3 linked regions of the Saccharomyces cerevisiae S288C genome follow. Changing the gene in region 1 together with any one later gene gives a genetic interaction. Each region holds a gene or a part of one and is shown on either strand. Other genes may lie near its edges.

Region 1 (6,654 bases):
TTGAAACTTTTTGGGTACTGGTGGTGTGGAAACAAACTTACTGACAAACCTCTGCATATTTTAGATCAGATATTTCTTGCTTTTGTTTTCGTTTTCGTCTGCTACTGTTTGTCTCCCCTCATATTGTTGTTGTTAAAATCTAAAAACGAATTCCATAATGATGGAAAAGAGTTAAAATTCAACACCAAAAAACAAGACGCATCAAGAAGTTTATTTGTATATGTTGAGGATACATCTAATGTCAATAACACAGATTCTACAAATTTTATAAAATCATATCAGTTACGTATTTTTATTGAAGACGGGTCACTTGGTGGTGGTAATTCTTTGAAATAATCACTTTCTAAACACTGAACAGCGGTCCACCTCTTTTGTGGGTTCATCGTTAGCATTCCACACATAAAATCTAAGGCGTATTCGCTAGCAGCAATGAACCTTTTCCTCAATTCATCTCTTGAAGGGGGCGGATATATTTGTAACTTGTTATACGTCATAAAGGAAGAAACTTCGGGCCAATCTCTATCTGTAGGTGTCCCTAAGGCCCTGAACGTTACTTCCATTTGATCGACATCATTCTGTCCTGGTAAATAAGGTATCCTTAGCATTAATTCCGCGAATATAACGCCTACTGACCAGATATCAATAGCCGATGTGTAATGTTTAGCTCCAAACAACAATTCTGGCGCTCTATACCATCTTGTTACGACGTTACTTGTCAGTATCTCATGTGGGGCCGGTATCGCCCTTGCTAGACCGAAATCTGCTACTTTTATCTGGCCATCAGGTGAAAATAATAAATTGTTTGGTTTCAGATCCCTGTGCAAAATGAAATTTCTGTGGCAATGATACACGCCCCTCAAAGTCATAAGCATCCATGCCTTAATATCTGCTGGTGTAAACAGTATTGATTTGTCTTTTATTACCACCTCTAGATCAGTTGGTAGGAACTCCAGAACGAGATTTAAATTATCATAAGCCATAAATATGTCTATTAGTTCTATGACGTTCGGATGCTGCATTTCTTGGAGGTACTTAACTTCACGGATAGCTGACATATCTAAACCATCTTTAAATTCGGATGTTTTGATCTCCTTAATAGCAATCTTTCTTCCAGTAGAGTGTTGACAACCCAAGTAAACAACCGCATAAGTACCCTCACCAACTTTCTTTTCTGCGATGAATCATCATTAATCAACGTTAGTATCATTATTGAATGTTAAAAGAAAGACGACAATATATAACCCCCACATACCCTTTGTGTACTCCATATTCACTTTCATATGTTCGCTCTGAGGCCGGGAATATTTTTTTTGATGACTTTTAAGTAACTGTGATTTCACTTGTATTTTTTTTCAATGTGTTTTTTGAATCTACTTGTAATATTCTCTGCACAATGCTTCAAATGAAGCTTCACATCATAACACAAAAAAAATTGTAGGTTCATCCAATGGACGAATCTTTCTTAAGGCTTATGCTTGAAGACCATTTCTATATACCAAAAAATTACAAACTGGCAAGATTGATGTCTTATTGAAACTGAAAATCTTTCAAATTAGAGGGTGATTTTCAATTACAATTGACAACTAAGCCGACTTCCCCTGAAACCGCTTCTGAATTCTTACAAATTTCTCTTGGAGGATTTGTTCAAGGTAGTGTGGTATGTTTTTAGCGTATTAACAGCAAGCGTTGTGTCTGCAAACAAAGAGAAAAAATATCAGTACAAAAAATGCTCACCTGACCTTATTCACCCAAAAACATCGGGGAAACGGTAGTAATATGGAAGCTGGCAGGAGTGCTGATGAAGTGCTATACCACAATCAGTCGTCAGTAAAGTTAGGTGAGTTAGAAAGATACGTTATTACATATGAGCTATACCAGGGTGATAGTATTCCCGCTGATATCACACTGGATTCCCTATGGGTAAAGATCAAAAATACCACAAAGCTATCCTATAAACCAGCCTATCTATTGGGCCCATTTATCTTATATTGTGACGTGCGAGCAAAAGATTACGAAAGCTCGTATAAGATCATATGTTCGGCGGATAAACCAGTATTTCAATCAAACCTACAGGCACAACAAAAGTTTATTGCAGAGTTGTCCTTGCACCACATTAAGCCACGCTATGTATGGATAGTGGATATTGTCAGTCAAATACTATTTAATAAAGAAACTAAGGTAACTTTTGAGATAGTAGTCGGCAATTCAAAGGCCTCTTTGAAAAGAAAAATACGATGTAATGATTCATTGCCTGATAAAGCCTGCAATATTTTACACACAGGATTATCGGTGCATAGACTTACCACCGCAGATATATGGAAAGTACCACGACCCATAGACATGTCGCAAAAATCCCATTTAGTCATTCTCACGCATGGTTTTCAATCAAACGTTTCGGCAGATATGGAATACTTAATGGAAGAAATATACAAGGCTCAAATGAACAATCCAAATGAGCGACTAGTTATTAAGGGATATATGAAGAATGCTTGTGAGACTGAGAAGGGTATTAAGTTTTTGGGTGTTGGATTGGCAAACTACATCATCGACGAGTTATATGATGACTCTGTTGGGAAAATTTCATTTATTGGTCATTCCCTGGGTGGATTAACACAAACTTTTGCTATTTGTTACATAAAGACCAAATATCCATATTTCTTTAAGAAAGTGGAGCCAATCAATTTTATCTCACTGGCGTCACCATTGCTAGGCATTGCTACCAGCACGCCCAATTACGTAAAAATGTCATTGTCGATGGGTATCATTGGTACTACGGGGCAAGAACTGGGTCTTAAGGATGGAAATTATGGTGATAAGCCCCTACTTTACCTGCTATCCGAGGAATCCTTAATCAGTGTGCTTGCTCGATTCAAAAGAAGAACACTTTATGCTAATGCCGTCAACGACGGAATAGTTCCCTTGTACTCCTCTTCTTTACTTTTTTTGGACTACTCTCAATTACTTCAGAAACTGGGAGGTCAAACTACGGCACCTTGTGATCCTCTCTTCCAGCCTGAAGTAAGTCCTATTGGGGAACTTCCAAATCATAGCGATGTTGCTAATGATGATGATGGAATCAATGCATCGTCATGGAACACGTTTTGGAAGAGCAAGGAAAATAACTGCGACAAGAAATCTAAACGCTTGATGAATGCTTCCGTCATCAAATCTATGAAGTCTGTGCTTCTATCACCATGCCCCGACGCAAAGTTCTTCTCAGATCCCGATGCAAGGGTCGCAACAATCATACATGATAAGATCTACACAGAAAAGAATTTACCGCCTCCATCACCAACACTTTATGAAGGAACAGCAGCCAAGGAAGGCGAAACGAGGAAGACGAGAAAAGAGATGGAGGAAATCATAGCACGCCGCTGGCACAAGGGGATGCATTGGAGGAAAGTCGTGGTATTGCTGAAACCAGATGCCCACAATAACATCATCGTAAGAAGAAGGTTTTCCAACGCTTACGGCTGGCCGGTGGTTGACCACCTTGTTACCGCCCATTTCCAAAGAGATGACCCAATCGCCTCACCAATGCAAGATAAACAGTTTGCTGAGGAAGATATAAACATGGCAACCGGAGGGGTGGAACCAAACAAGTTCTACTCATGGCTCACCAAGATCGAGGATCCTAGTGTGTACCATGGTGGAATAGTCTCCACAGCTAGCCAGCTCGCCAGCTCCTGGATTAGCAAGCATTCCTCTGTGACAGATTGACTGTCTATCTTGACGTCATCCCGGGATTGACTTGCAATTTACTATTGTCCACACCTACGAAAGTCCATTTTACTTCGTAGTTCGATAAATGCGCTTACGGGTCTTTTTCGAGCGGGACAACTCTTCAGCTCCTCCCCTAAAACCGAGGCCGAATATCCCTTCTCCATATAAATAAGACACTTTTCACCAGGAAAACAATACTTCAGAAGCTTATTTCTCTTGACAAAAAGAGGGGTAAGATCTTTATAAAACATAAAGCAAATCAAAACATAATAACTACTACAAGTAACATAATGTGCTCAGCAGGCGGTATCAGAAGACCAATCCAGATCGAAGAATTTAAGACGGCGATAAGCGGCATGTCCGACATGGAGTTGGCACAGATTAAAACAGAAATTGAGAACAGTATCAATCATTTGCAGAGGTCTAACGCCCGCTTGGGTAAATACATAGCTAAGTTGGAGGGTGCTGACGACCGTCTTGAAGCTGACGACAGCGACGACTTGGAGAACATTGATTCGGGAGACCTGGCGCTGTACAAGGACTCTGTCAGGGAGAACGAAATTGTGCTAAACAATTACAATGAGAGAGTGGACGCATTGGAGCAAGAAACGGTATATAGAAAGACGGGCCATGGCAAGAGTAAGCACGAGGTAGAGGCAAAGGACAACACCAACAAGGGCCCTGACGTTGACATGGACAATTCAAATGTGGACGTCGTGACACCAAACAGCATATTCATTTAAGAGACGGGATTTAGTTTTACTGCGCATCATTTTCACGTCATACTCTTTGTCTCTCTGTTCTATCTCTTCGTATAAATATTTCAATAACTCCATTTGTCTATTCTATCTACCCGTTCTATCCTTACTACTAGATATCTTAAAGAAATAATAAAATAAGTAAATACAAAAAAAACTCGCTATTAATAATTTATCTCCGAAAGCCCTAGGGTGTGCTTTTCTTCCGTGCCCTAGTCTATTATTTTGAACCCTAGTTGGCGAAATTTTTTTCTAATATTCAGAAAAAAGAAACGTAGAGCTTATATGGTGAAGGAGTACAATGATACTAATAGTCTGTAGACGGCAAAAGGCATTCTTTTTGACTAGCACAACGACAGTTTGAGATTCTGTTGAAATAATCATTTATGTCTCTTTCGGTCGCCGAAAAGTCGTACCTATACGATTCACTAGCAAGCACGCCTTCAATTAGGCCCGATGGAAGACTACCTCATCAATTCAGACCTATAGAAATATTTACTGACTTCCTACCAAGTTCCAATGGATCGTCCAGAATTATAGCTAGTGATGGAAGTGAATGTATCGTGAGCATTAAGTCCAAAGTTGTGGATCATCATGTGGAGAATGAACTACTTCAGGTCGATGTAGATATCGCAGGCCAAAGAGATGACGCGCTGGTAGTAGAGACAATCACTTCTTTACTGAACAAGGTTTTGAAGTCTGGTAGCGGAGTAGATTCCTCAAAGTTGCAATTGACAAAAAAGTACAGCTTCAAAATATTTGTCGATGTTCTGGTCATTTCATCACATTCACACCCAGTTTCTTTAATATCCTTTGCTATTTATTCAGCGTTGAACTCCACATACCTACCGAAACTTATTTCAGCTTTTGACGACTTAGAGGTGGAAGAACTTCCTACGTTTCATGATTACGACATGGTTAAGCTTGACATTAATCCGCCTTTAGTGTTTATATTGGCCGTTGTAGGCAACAATATGCTATTGGACCCTGCAGCCAACGAAAGCGAAGTGGCCAATAATGGCCTAATCATTTCCTGGTCTAATGGTAAGATTACATCACCTATCAGATCAGTAGCATTGAATGATTCAAACGTTAAAAGCTTTAAACCTCATTTGTTGAAGCAAGGTCTTGCAATGGTGGAGAAATACGCCCCCGACGTAGTACGATCACTGGAGAATTTATAAAAATATAGTCACAATTAGATAAAAAGACAAATTAGTTTACATACTAAAAACTTCATGGTTAACAAAAGTGGGAATGAAACCTGATTCTTACATGTGTTGAACTGTATAGGAATGAACGATAACTGCGGTTGCCGTTTGAATATTCATTGATCTGATCACACCAAATTGTTGAATCTCTAAACATAAATCCAATTCGCTTAACAAAGTCCCCGGAATACCGAATGCTTCGGTTCCTAGCAAGATCAATGATTTTTTAGGGAATTGGAAATTGTTGTCTAGCTTCACTGATTTATCCGTTTGCTCTAGCCCAATTAATGTGTACCCTTCCTTCTTTTTCTCTTTCATGAAACTTGCAATCTCATCTAGGGCAACTTCCTCCATGGGCATCCATCTATCAGCAGTCACAGCAACATTTTTAAATTGAGGATGGTTTTTGACTTTGATGTCTTGTACAGTAAGCAGTCCCACACCTAAAACATCACATAACCTACAAATACCTCCCAGGTTTGGCGGCTTATCAACTAATGAAGATACCACAATCAATTCAGAACGTGTAACGACATCATTCGATTTTTTATTGTCCAGATCCAGAACGGTTTCCCAAGCTCCACTTTTTGTTTGCAGTGGAGAAGTGTCACAGGAGATGTTCGCGTTGTTAACAGATTCCGTATTGGTGTCTCTTTTATCAAGCCATAAGGACCTTTCATCGGTACCTATAGGAACAATATCTTTCTCCTGCAAATATTTTTCGAAAACAGACTCAGAAATGTACGGGCAATCATGGTCGGTAACTTTTTTGAGCACACCACCAAACATGTTCGTTAATTTCCTATCACCCTTCAGATCCCATATGTTGGCATCCCCGGCACGATATTGACCAAATATTTGAGTCTTTTTGGCATTGGAATATAAGTTCTCAATGATGTTTCTCAGTGTGTGATCCGATAGGTAGGCTTTGAATGTAGGCCATAATGAAATTATTAGAGAAT
Region 2 (6,098 bases), on another chromosome or scaffold:
GAGGGTTTTCAAGGATTAGACTCCACGAAATATGATCACTTAGAATTGATTAACCATAAGAATTGGAAGGAACTGTATCATGCTATCCCTAGAAATACCAAAAATCGCCACTATAAGCTGTTGATTTTAGCTAGGCATGGTCAAGGTTACCACAATGCTGCCATACTGAGGTACGGTATGGAGAAATGGGACGCCTATTGGTCGTTGCTTTCGGGCGATGAACATGGAGAGTGGCTTGACTCTAAACTGACACCTCTGGGTAAAGATCAAGTTAGAAGAACAGGATCGAATGTCTTGCTACCAATGGCAAAGCAATTAGGTATGCTACCTCATGTGTTTTTCAGTTCTCCAATGAGAAGATGTCTCGAAACATTCATTGAGTCGTGGACACCAGTGTTAGCGGAGACGCAAGAATTACCGGCCGGAACTAAAATTTCTACACGCATTATAGAAGGTCTAAGGGAGACGTTGGGCTCTCACACTTGTGACAAAAGAGTGGCTCACTCAATGGCAGTTGACGAATACCAGGATTTCAGCACGGAATCGGGCCACACTGTACATTGGCAATATGTACCAGATTACCCAGAAGATGATGAATTGTGGCTTCCTGATCATAGAGAAACGTGTGCTGAAATGGACAAACGTACACTGAATGGATTATTTGAACTATTTAATCAATTGTCAAGCGAAGAAAAATTCATCTCGCTTACTTGTCACTCAGGTGTCATTCAAAGTGTCTTGAGAAACTTACAGCATCCTCCAATTTATAACCTGGACACAGGTAAAGTCGTCGCTGTCGTCGTGGAAGTACCAGTCAACACGGCCGATCGCGGCAGGCTCTGAATTTTCCCACAGCGCCCATTCGGGACTTTCAAATATGTGGGTAATTTAAATAATTTTTTATAGATATAATAGAGTGGATGGAATAAAACCCTTTCTTTTCAAATAATGTGTTAAGCACTTTGAGAAATGGTTGAACCTTTCACTTTGATCATCGCTTTCTCAAGCTAGGTGAGAACATACATTTGAGTATAAAATAAAAAATGCATATGTGAAATTATATGAATGCAAAGGGTTCTTAGTTCCTTTTTTATTCTTGTATAGTTTTCACCGCTATGTCCACTCCCTCTTTTATACTATACTAATCGATGCCACAGAAAATATAGGCTTGGAAGTAATAAGCCCCCTTCATATACTTTCGTACAAGAAAATGTAACCGGTACATTAAAACAAACTTCAGTAGCCTCCCCTAATCACTCGGCAGGCAGACCTACGATCTTGAACAACTATTATATAGTAGCAAGATGCTAGCTCCATCGCTTTTCTAACTAAAGGTAAACTGATCGATTTGCATTTATATAATAAACCTCGGGAAGAGCTTTACCGAAAAAGGAAACCGTTTGCTGTGACAAGTAAATATAGAGTAATCTATTATAAAGGGTTAAAGCAATCTCGATTCAATTGACCGCGAGCAAATTAACAACAATCCAGTTATAAAACATTAATTTGCTGATCACATTTGAATCAAAAAAAGTAAAGAGAAATACTTATAACCGTCAATGGCTGTCATAAAAAAGGGAGCACGCAGAAAGGACGTTAAGGAGCCCAAGAAGAGATCTGCAAAAATCAAAAAGGCTACATTTGATGCAAATAAAAAGAAAGAAGTAGGTATTTCTGATTTGACACTTTTGTCAAAAATATCTGATGAATCTATCAATGAAAATTTGAAAAAAAGATTTAAGAATGGAATTATTTATACCTATATTGGCCATGTGTTAATTAGTGTAAATCCGTTCCGCGATTTGGGAATATATACAAATGCCGTTTTAGAGTCATATAAAGGAAAAAATAGACTTGAAGTTCCACCACACGTGTTTGCTATTGCGGAATCTATGTACTACAATCTCAAATCATACAATGAAAATCAGTGTGTTATTATTTCTGGTGAGTCTGGTGCCGGTAAGACAGAAGCAGCCAAACGTATTATGCAATATATTGCAGCTGCATCTAATAGCCATTCAGAATCGATTGGGAAGATCAAAGATATGGTTCTTGCTACTAATCCACTTCTCGAGTCATTCGGTTGTGCTAAAACTCTGCGGAACAACAATTCTTCAAGGCACGGGAAGTATCTAGAAATTAAATTCAACTCACAATTTGAACCTTGCGCAGGTAATATCACAAATTATTTGCTAGAGAAACAAAGAGTTGTTGGTCAAATTAAGAACGAAAGAAACTTTCATATTTTTTACCAATTCACTAAGGGAGCATCTGATACATATAAACAGATGTTCGGTGTGCAAATGCCTGAGCAATATATTTACACTGCTGCGGCTGGCTGTACTACTGCAGATACAATTGATGACGTAAAAGATTACGAAGGCACGTTAGAGGCTATGAGAACCATTGGTTTAGTCCAGGAAGAACAAGACCAAATTTTTAGGATGCTGGCGGCAATTCTGTGGATTGGTAACATTTCCTTTATAGAAAATGAAGAGGGCAATGCTCAGGTAGGAGATACCTCAGTGACTGATTTTGTCGCTTATTTGTTGCAGGTTGATGCTTCGTTACTGGTAAAATGTTTAGTGGAAAGAATCATGCAAACCAGTCATGGAATGAAGAGAGGCTCAGTTTATCATGTACCTTTGAACCCAGTCCAAGCAACTGCGGTGAGAGACGCCCTTGCTAAGGCAATTTATAATAATTTATTCGACTGGATTGTCGATAGGGTTAACGTATCTTTGCAGGCATTTCCTGGTGCTGATAAATCAATTGGGATTCTAGACATTTACGGCTTCGAAATTTTTGAACACAACTCTTTTGAGCAAATATGTATCAATTATGTTAATGAAAAGTTACAACAGATTTTTATCCAATTGACTTTGAAGGCTGAGCAAGAAACTTATGAAAGAGAAAAAATCAAATGGACCCCCATCAAATACTTTGACAATAAAGTTGTCTGTGATTTAATCGAGGCGAAAAATCCACCGGGCATTCTTGCTGCAATGAATGACTCTATTGCAACTGCTCATGCAGACTCCAATGCCGCTGACCAGGCGTTTGCTCAACGACTTAACTTATTTAATTCAAATCCATACTTCGAATTAAGGGCCAACAAATTTGTTATTAAACATTACGCTGGAGATGTCACCTATGACATCAATGGTATCACCGATAAAAATAAAGACCAACTTCAAAAGGACCTAATTGAATTAATTGGAACAACGACAAATACATTCCTTTCCACAATTTTTCCTGATGATGTTGACAAAGATTCAAAGAGACGGCCTCCAACAGCAGGTGACAAAATTATTAAAAGTGCAAATGAACTGGTGGAAACTTTGTCAAAAGCTGAGCCTTCCTATATCAGAACAATCAAGCCTAATCAAACTAAATCACCAAATGATTATGATGATCACCAAGTGCTACATCAAGTAAAATATTTGGGTTTGCAAGAAAATGTTCGTATCAGGAGAGCCGGTTTCGCTTACAGACAAACTTTCGAAAAATTCGTCGAAAGATTTTATTTACTATCTCCAGATTGTTCATATGCTGGTGATTACACTTGGGATGGGGACACCCTTGAGGCAGTCAAGCTTATTTTAAGAGATGCCATGATACCAGAAAAAGAATTTCAACTTGGAGTGACAAGCGTATTCATTAAAACTCCAGAATCTCTATTTGCTCTAGAAGACATGCGTGATAAATACTGGTACAACATGGCTGCTAGAATCCAGAGAGCATGGAGAAGGTTTCTTCAAAGGCGTATTGATGCTGCGATAAAAATTCAGCGTACTATCAGAGAGAAAAAGGGTGGAAACAAGTACGTCAAGCTTCGTGATTATGGAACCAAACTTTTAGCGGGTAAAAAAGAGAGAAGATCCATGTCTTTACTTGGATACAGGGCTTTTATGGGTGATTACTTATCCTGCAATGAGTCTAAAACGAAAGGATCGTACATCAGAAGACAGGTAGGAATTAAGGATAAAGTTGTTTTTTCGATAAAGGGGGAATGCCTGCACTCTAAATTTGGCAGATCAGCTCAAAGATTGAAAAAAGTGTTTATCTTAACAAAAAAGACATTTTATATTATTGGACAAACACGGGAACAGAATGCTATGAAATATACACAAGATTATAAAATTGATGTCGGTAAAATTAAACAAGTGAGCTTAACAAACCTCCAAGACGATTGGATGGGCGTTATCCTTGTTAATAGTACACAATCCGATCCACTCATTAACACGCCTTTCAAGACGGAATTAATGACACGTTTGAAAAAATTAAATGAAAAGATAATGATAAAAGTTGGTCCCACGATTGAGTATCACAAACAACCAAACAAGTTGCACACTGTCCGCTCAAAGATAAGCGATTCAGCACCGAAATACGGTGACATCTACAAGTCAAGTACAATATACGTGCGTCGTGGACACCCTGCTAACTCCAAATCGAATAAAAAACCTAAGAATCCAGGTGGGTTGAGCGGGAAACCTATCAAAAGCAAAAAGAGTAAACACAAATCTACTCATAAGCATACACATAGCCATAGAAGTCATAGGGATGCTGCAAAAAAGCAACCTCTCCCTTCGCAAAAACCTGTGAATCCGTTATCTTTGGCAGCTACCGCTGCACAGGCAGCATACAATCCTAAACCGGATAAGACCGTACCAATAAAGTCATCTGCAATCCCTGCTGCAAAAGTAAGCTCGAAACACAGCTCAAAACCCTCATCGAAGGAAAAAGTCGCAGTAAAGAAAGCCTCCTCAAGCCACAAATCCTCATCCGCCAAGCAAAACCAGGTATCGATGCCACCTTCAAAAGGGGTTGAAAAAAATAAAGAACCGTTAAAGGAGACAACTGCAACTGCAACTGCAAACATACCAATACCACCACCCCCTCCCCCCATGGGCCAACCAAAGGATCCGAAATTCGAAGCTGCATACGACTTTCCAGGTTCCGGATCATCTTCGGAGTTGCCATTAAAAAAGGGCGATATTGTATTTATAAGCAGAGATGAACCTAGTGGTTGGTCTTTAGCAAAGCTTCTCGATGGAAGCAAAGAAGGTTGGGTTCCTACTGCTTATATGACTCCTTATAAAGACACAAGAAATACGGTGCCTGTTGCAGCGACAGGGGCAGTGAATGACGTTACAAATCAGAAATCAAGCCAAATCGACAATACCATTTCAAGTGCACAAGAAGGTGTACAGTTTGGAAGTGCAACAGTTGGACCCACTAGTGATAATCAGAGTAATCCGGTGGGGACGTTTAGCGACGGTTTAGCTTCTGCATTGGCAGCAAGAGCAAACAAAATGCGGGCGGAAAGTGCTGACGATGATGATAATGACGATGGCGATGATGATGATGACTGGTAATTAACATGAATATATAGATGTTTAGTCTCTTATAGAATGGTTCTTCGTGCATGCCTCTTAACATACCAAAAGTGCATTACATATACTTTTAAACATACTCTCGCAGAAAGTTAAAGTCCCTTTTTTTTTTTTTTTTTCATTTTTTGTTTGTATTTTCCCGTTTTGAAAAACTCCCACTTTAATGCAGGACATCGTTCAAAACAAGCTTTAAAGATTTGACAGTAAAATCCTCACTTTACTCAAGACATTTTTCTCAAAAAAAGAGAAAGCACAGTAAACCCTCCTTAATTTTCCTTTTGCATAATACCAGACACTTAAAAATGAGCAAAGACAAAGATATCAAAGTCACTCCTGGAACTTGTGAATTAGTTGAACAAATACTCGCCTTACTCTCCCGGTATCTCTCATCTTATATTCACGTGCTGAACAAGTTCATCAGTCATTTGCGAAGGGTAGCTACGCTACGATTCGAGAGAACTACTTTGATTAAATTTGTTAAGAAATTGAGATTTTACAACGATTGTGTGTTAAGCTATAATGCATCAGAGTTTATCAATGAAGGTAAAAACGAATTAGACCCAGAGGCGGATTCGTTTGACAAGGTAATTTTACCAATAGCTTCAATGTTTGTTAAATGTGTTGAAACGTTTGACTTACTGAACTATTATCTAACGCAGTCATTACAAAAGGAAATTTTATCTAAAACTTTGAACGAGGACC
Region 3 (3,921 bases), on another chromosome or scaffold:
ATAAAGTCGCTAACCCCTGGAATTTATTGTGCATTGTTTTTTTTTTTTTTCAATTTTTCATGTTCTTTCAAGTGCTAGTGTTTCTAACCCCCGAGAAGCATTAAGTGGGTAACAATATAATTGTGAAGACAGAAGTTCCACAAAATCAACTTAATCCAGAACCAGCCGTCAGGGATATTTGAATCTCTGATCCCGAATGGGCTTGGCTGGCTGCAAGAAAGAACAAAGACAAGGAGAAACAGAGTAGATATTATTCGTAATTTCGTTATCTGAAGGATTCAGTGATTTAAGTAGAGTTGGACGTACCTTAAACCACAATATTATTTGTATCGAAAATCTTTAACTTGTGATAAATAAAAAAAGATCGTCCTTTTGTTGCGCCTAAATGTTAACAGTAAAATTATGTTTGTTTATATCTTCAATACATTATTATAGAAACAAAATATAAACAAACTTTGGAACTAAATAATTTTTATAGAGCCCAACTACTCCATAAAGACAGTGGTTCTATTGGAAAAATAGTTACACAGAAATGAATTGTTGAAATCGTTGACTTTAATATACAGTTCATGCTGTATCTAAATTATTATTATGAACAAAATAAAACAGCGACCGGTGTTGATTGCAAACGGTAATTTCATTTTGAGATAAGAAGAAAAATAGCGGCGAAAATGTATGTAAAAATTTCGTTATATAATGTAGATGCACAAGATTTCTTCATTATATTTTTTGCATTTCTTTCGTAAGAATATTATTGAAAAACTTATAGTTATCCAGGTACAAGTGATGCCCTGAATGAGGAACAATGATGACGTTACTTTTTTGTTTCAACTTCTCTTTCAAGAATCTTGATACTCTAAGTCCACCATTCACATCCATCCAATCGTCATCGCCATAAAGCCAAAGCCAGTCACAATTACTATTCTTTAAAATATCAGACTTTTTGCCATCGAATAGCTGCTGCTCCAATGATAGTCTTGGTTCACCACCACATTTCAAAGCAAAGCTTAATAAGTATTCACCTGAACCACGTTTATTGAAAATAGCATATGCGTATCTATGCAAGGCTTCAAACCGTTTTGACTGTTCTGGATCACCATTCAAAATGTGCTTAAAGCGCCGATATGACCATCCACTTGTAATCTTCGAACCTAACTGGCGAAAATTTCTTACTAGTGTAAAAGGCGAGATATTTCTGTCCCAAAGCTTGACATACCACCAAGGAGGCGGTTTCCATTTTTCAACCTCTGAAGCAGTATTGTTGAAATCTCTATAAGACACGCCTGCTGGGGAACAAAGGATCAGCTTTTTAAAAGATGGAGATTCCTTATATTTTTGCAAATATAAAGCCATCAAGTAAGACCCTAAAGAATGTGCCATAACAATGTTTTTCTCAGGTCGGTTCAAAAGATTTCTTTTACTAAACCATGTGTGTATTCTTTCGTGAAACCAATCTTGAACGCTGTGAATATTATCTCTCGGATACTCGAACGGAAACTTAGGTCTTGAAGAAAAACCATACCCAGGCAAATCGATGGCATGTATGCACCACTCGTTATCCAATAGTGGAATATCCTCAAAATTCTTGATGAAAAAACCCAATCCGGCGCCATACCCATGAATGAAAACCAGATGTTTTAAGTCAGCCTCAGGCACTGAGGTTTTTCGAGGGCGTATGCAAAATTCATTGATGTAATTGCCCTCATCATCAACAACAGTTCTTATAAGTCTTGCTGTTTTTGATTCCGAAGGAGTGGGGTAGAATGGCAGCGTTTTCAAAAGTTCAGTCTGGAATGCATCCTCGTTCTTGATAAAATCTCGGAAGTCCTTAACAGAATCTTCTAAAGGGCGAGGAAACAAGCTTGGGACTCTATAGATAATCTCCCTTAATGGTATTGCAGTTGGTGCTGACGGAGTTCTTAATATCTGTTTCTCTGTAACATCTCTTGCGGAGGCTCTAGGGGACTGTGGCCGTGTATTCGATGAGTCAGCCCCTCTAAGAAGTTGAAAACCTTTCAAGGGTCTTCTTATTATGGAGTTTAAAGTTGACTTGAACATTAAAAGGCTAACCCTTATTAATCAGTATAAGTATTAGTGTACCTTTCCGTTATCCTTGTCAATAACGTGCTTGAGTGCTCATTGCAGCTCACTTTTATGTTCTATAATGTATCAGCCACTCTAGCATATTTCGGGGATTATCCAATAACGAACGGCGGAAGCGAAAAAAATAAAAAGAGCCCTTTCAGAAACAAACTACACCATCAATTTACACAAAAAAGGCTGAAAAAGGCAAAGGTGAAAGAGGCTAAACACTGACAAAATGTTGTGATAACTCCCAAGTCTAATCTGCATAAAATTTACAAATTATATATGTTCAAATAAGTTAGAATAGAAATCAAATAACCTCCGTTGATTAGTCTTCATACTACTAGTATATTGTCATATATAAGTGTAAAAAGATGACATAAAATTGAGAATCAGTCGTCAAATTTCACAGAAGCCGGAAAACAAGGATTGCAAATGCAATAAGATAATGAATGACAATGTATAAAACGAGTAAGAAATGATAATAGCATTATGCGGAGATATCGGTTCCATTTTGTGAATTCCTATATTATGAAGGAGAATTTTTGGTATACTCCTTTTACATAATGTTGTATATAGCATATAATAAAAGTGGAGTTAAAAATGTTGGTAATTAGAAATTAGAGGTGGTATTAATGAAGATTTAAATATGAATCTTAACCTTTTTACCATATAGGGGGGGGTATAAAAATACATACCGACTATTTCATCTTCATTATGACCGATATACCAATAACGAGATCTTTTACTATAGTTTCAATGTAACGACCCATATCCTTATAGATGAAAACACCAAGTTGATCATTCAAAAAAGTAGATCGGTAACTTTACTGTCCTTCCATAATCACGTGCTTACCTATGGTTATCCATCCTGACATATTAATGACGAACTGCATCTGATTACTTATATGATCCTAATGGTTAGTTATAAAGAATAATGAAGTCACTATTCTGACAATAATTTTATCACGAAATTCACACACTTCCATTGATAACGTAAGTAATTTACAGTACAATTTTGCTCACGTTTTAAGCCGCCCAGGACAAAAAGATGCTCATCACAGCTACTCCGGCCATCGTGGGTGACATTCGTATAGTCATATTCCCATAAATAGAGCATCCAAAATGGAACTTTCTGTTGTATTACGGGCTCGAGTAATACCGGAGTGTCTTGACAATCCTAATATAAACAGTCTTAGGGAAGTAACCAGTTGTCAAAACAGTTTATCAGATTAATTCACGGAATGTTACTTATCTTATATATTATATAAAATATGAATCATACTAAGTGGTGGAAGCGCGGAATCTCGGATCTAAACTAATTGTTCAGGCATTTATACTTTGGGTAGTTCAGCTAGGGAAGGTCGGGTTTTGTCTCATGTTGTTCGTTTTGTTATAAGGTTGTTTCATATGTGTTTTATGAACGTTCAGGGTGACGTATTGTCATACTGACATATCTCATTTTGAGATACAACATCTTCCTCTCTCTCAGGGTTGTCTTGTGTTTCGTAGAGTTGTCTAAAGTTGGCTAATATTGATCTTCGTGTTCTTTCGGGAATTTGGCAAAATTCAGCTTCTGAGTATTCTACTGAAAGTGTTGGGTCTACATCTTGCATGTGACATAAGTAAGTTTTGTGTGTAGTATCTATTCCTATGAGTGCAGTAACTTCGTGTGCTCTCTTAATTCTTTCAGTGGAGCTGATTGGTTTATTCTTTGGGTACGCGTCTGGACGGTATACAAACTTTTTCAGGAATTGTACATTAATAACTCTGTGCTTTTTCTTGTGAGAGTTTAAATCTAGTTCGTAGGCGTTATCGTTTATTTTCTTGACAACT

What was found. Genes that interact genetically often act in the same process or in processes that back each other up.
Region 2: mutations in TMA17 (region 1) and MYO3 together harm fitness more than expected from each alone (negative genetic interaction), as found in Saccharomyces cerevisiae (2 studies listed by BioGRID).
Region 3: mutations in TMA17 (region 1) and CLD1 together harm fitness more than expected from each alone (negative genetic interaction), as found in Saccharomyces cerevisiae (2 studies listed by BioGRID).

The regions. Positions count from the first base shown.
Region 1 is NC_001136.10:262,324-268,977, reverse strand, and holds TMA17 (Tma17p), read left to right. Parts: upstream 1-4,013; coding exon 4,014-4,466; downstream 4,467-6,654. Other genes in the region: MSS2 (Mss2p), read right to left, coding at 1-57; TFIIH complex serine/threonine-protein kinase subunit KIN28, read right to left, coding at 279-1,171, 1,253-1,280; YDL109C (putative lipase), read left to right, coding at 1,777-3,720; exosome non-catalytic core subunit RRP42, read left to right, coding at 4,868-5,665; TRM3 (tRNA (guanosine(18)-2'-O)-methyltransferase), read right to left, coding at 5,753-6,654. UniProt on the Saccharomyces cerevisiae protein: ATPase-dedicated chaperone that assists the formation of the RPT6-RPT3 ATPase pair, an early step in proteasome assembly.
Region 2 is NC_001143.9:195,629-201,726, reverse strand, and holds MYO3 (myosin 3), read left to right. Parts: upstream 1-1,559; coding exon 1,560-5,378; downstream 5,379-6,098. Other genes in the region: PMU1 (putative phosphomutase), read left to right, coding at 1-843; SHE2 (She2p), read left to right, coding at 5,699-6,098. UniProt on the Saccharomyces cerevisiae protein: One of two redundant type-I myosins implicated in the organization of the actin cytoskeleton. Required for proper actin cytoskeleton polarization and for the internalization step in endocytosis.
Region 3 is NC_001139.9:711,846-715,766, reverse strand, and holds CLD1 (carboxylic ester hydrolase), read right to left. Parts: upstream 2,059-3,921; coding exon 721-2,058; downstream 1-720.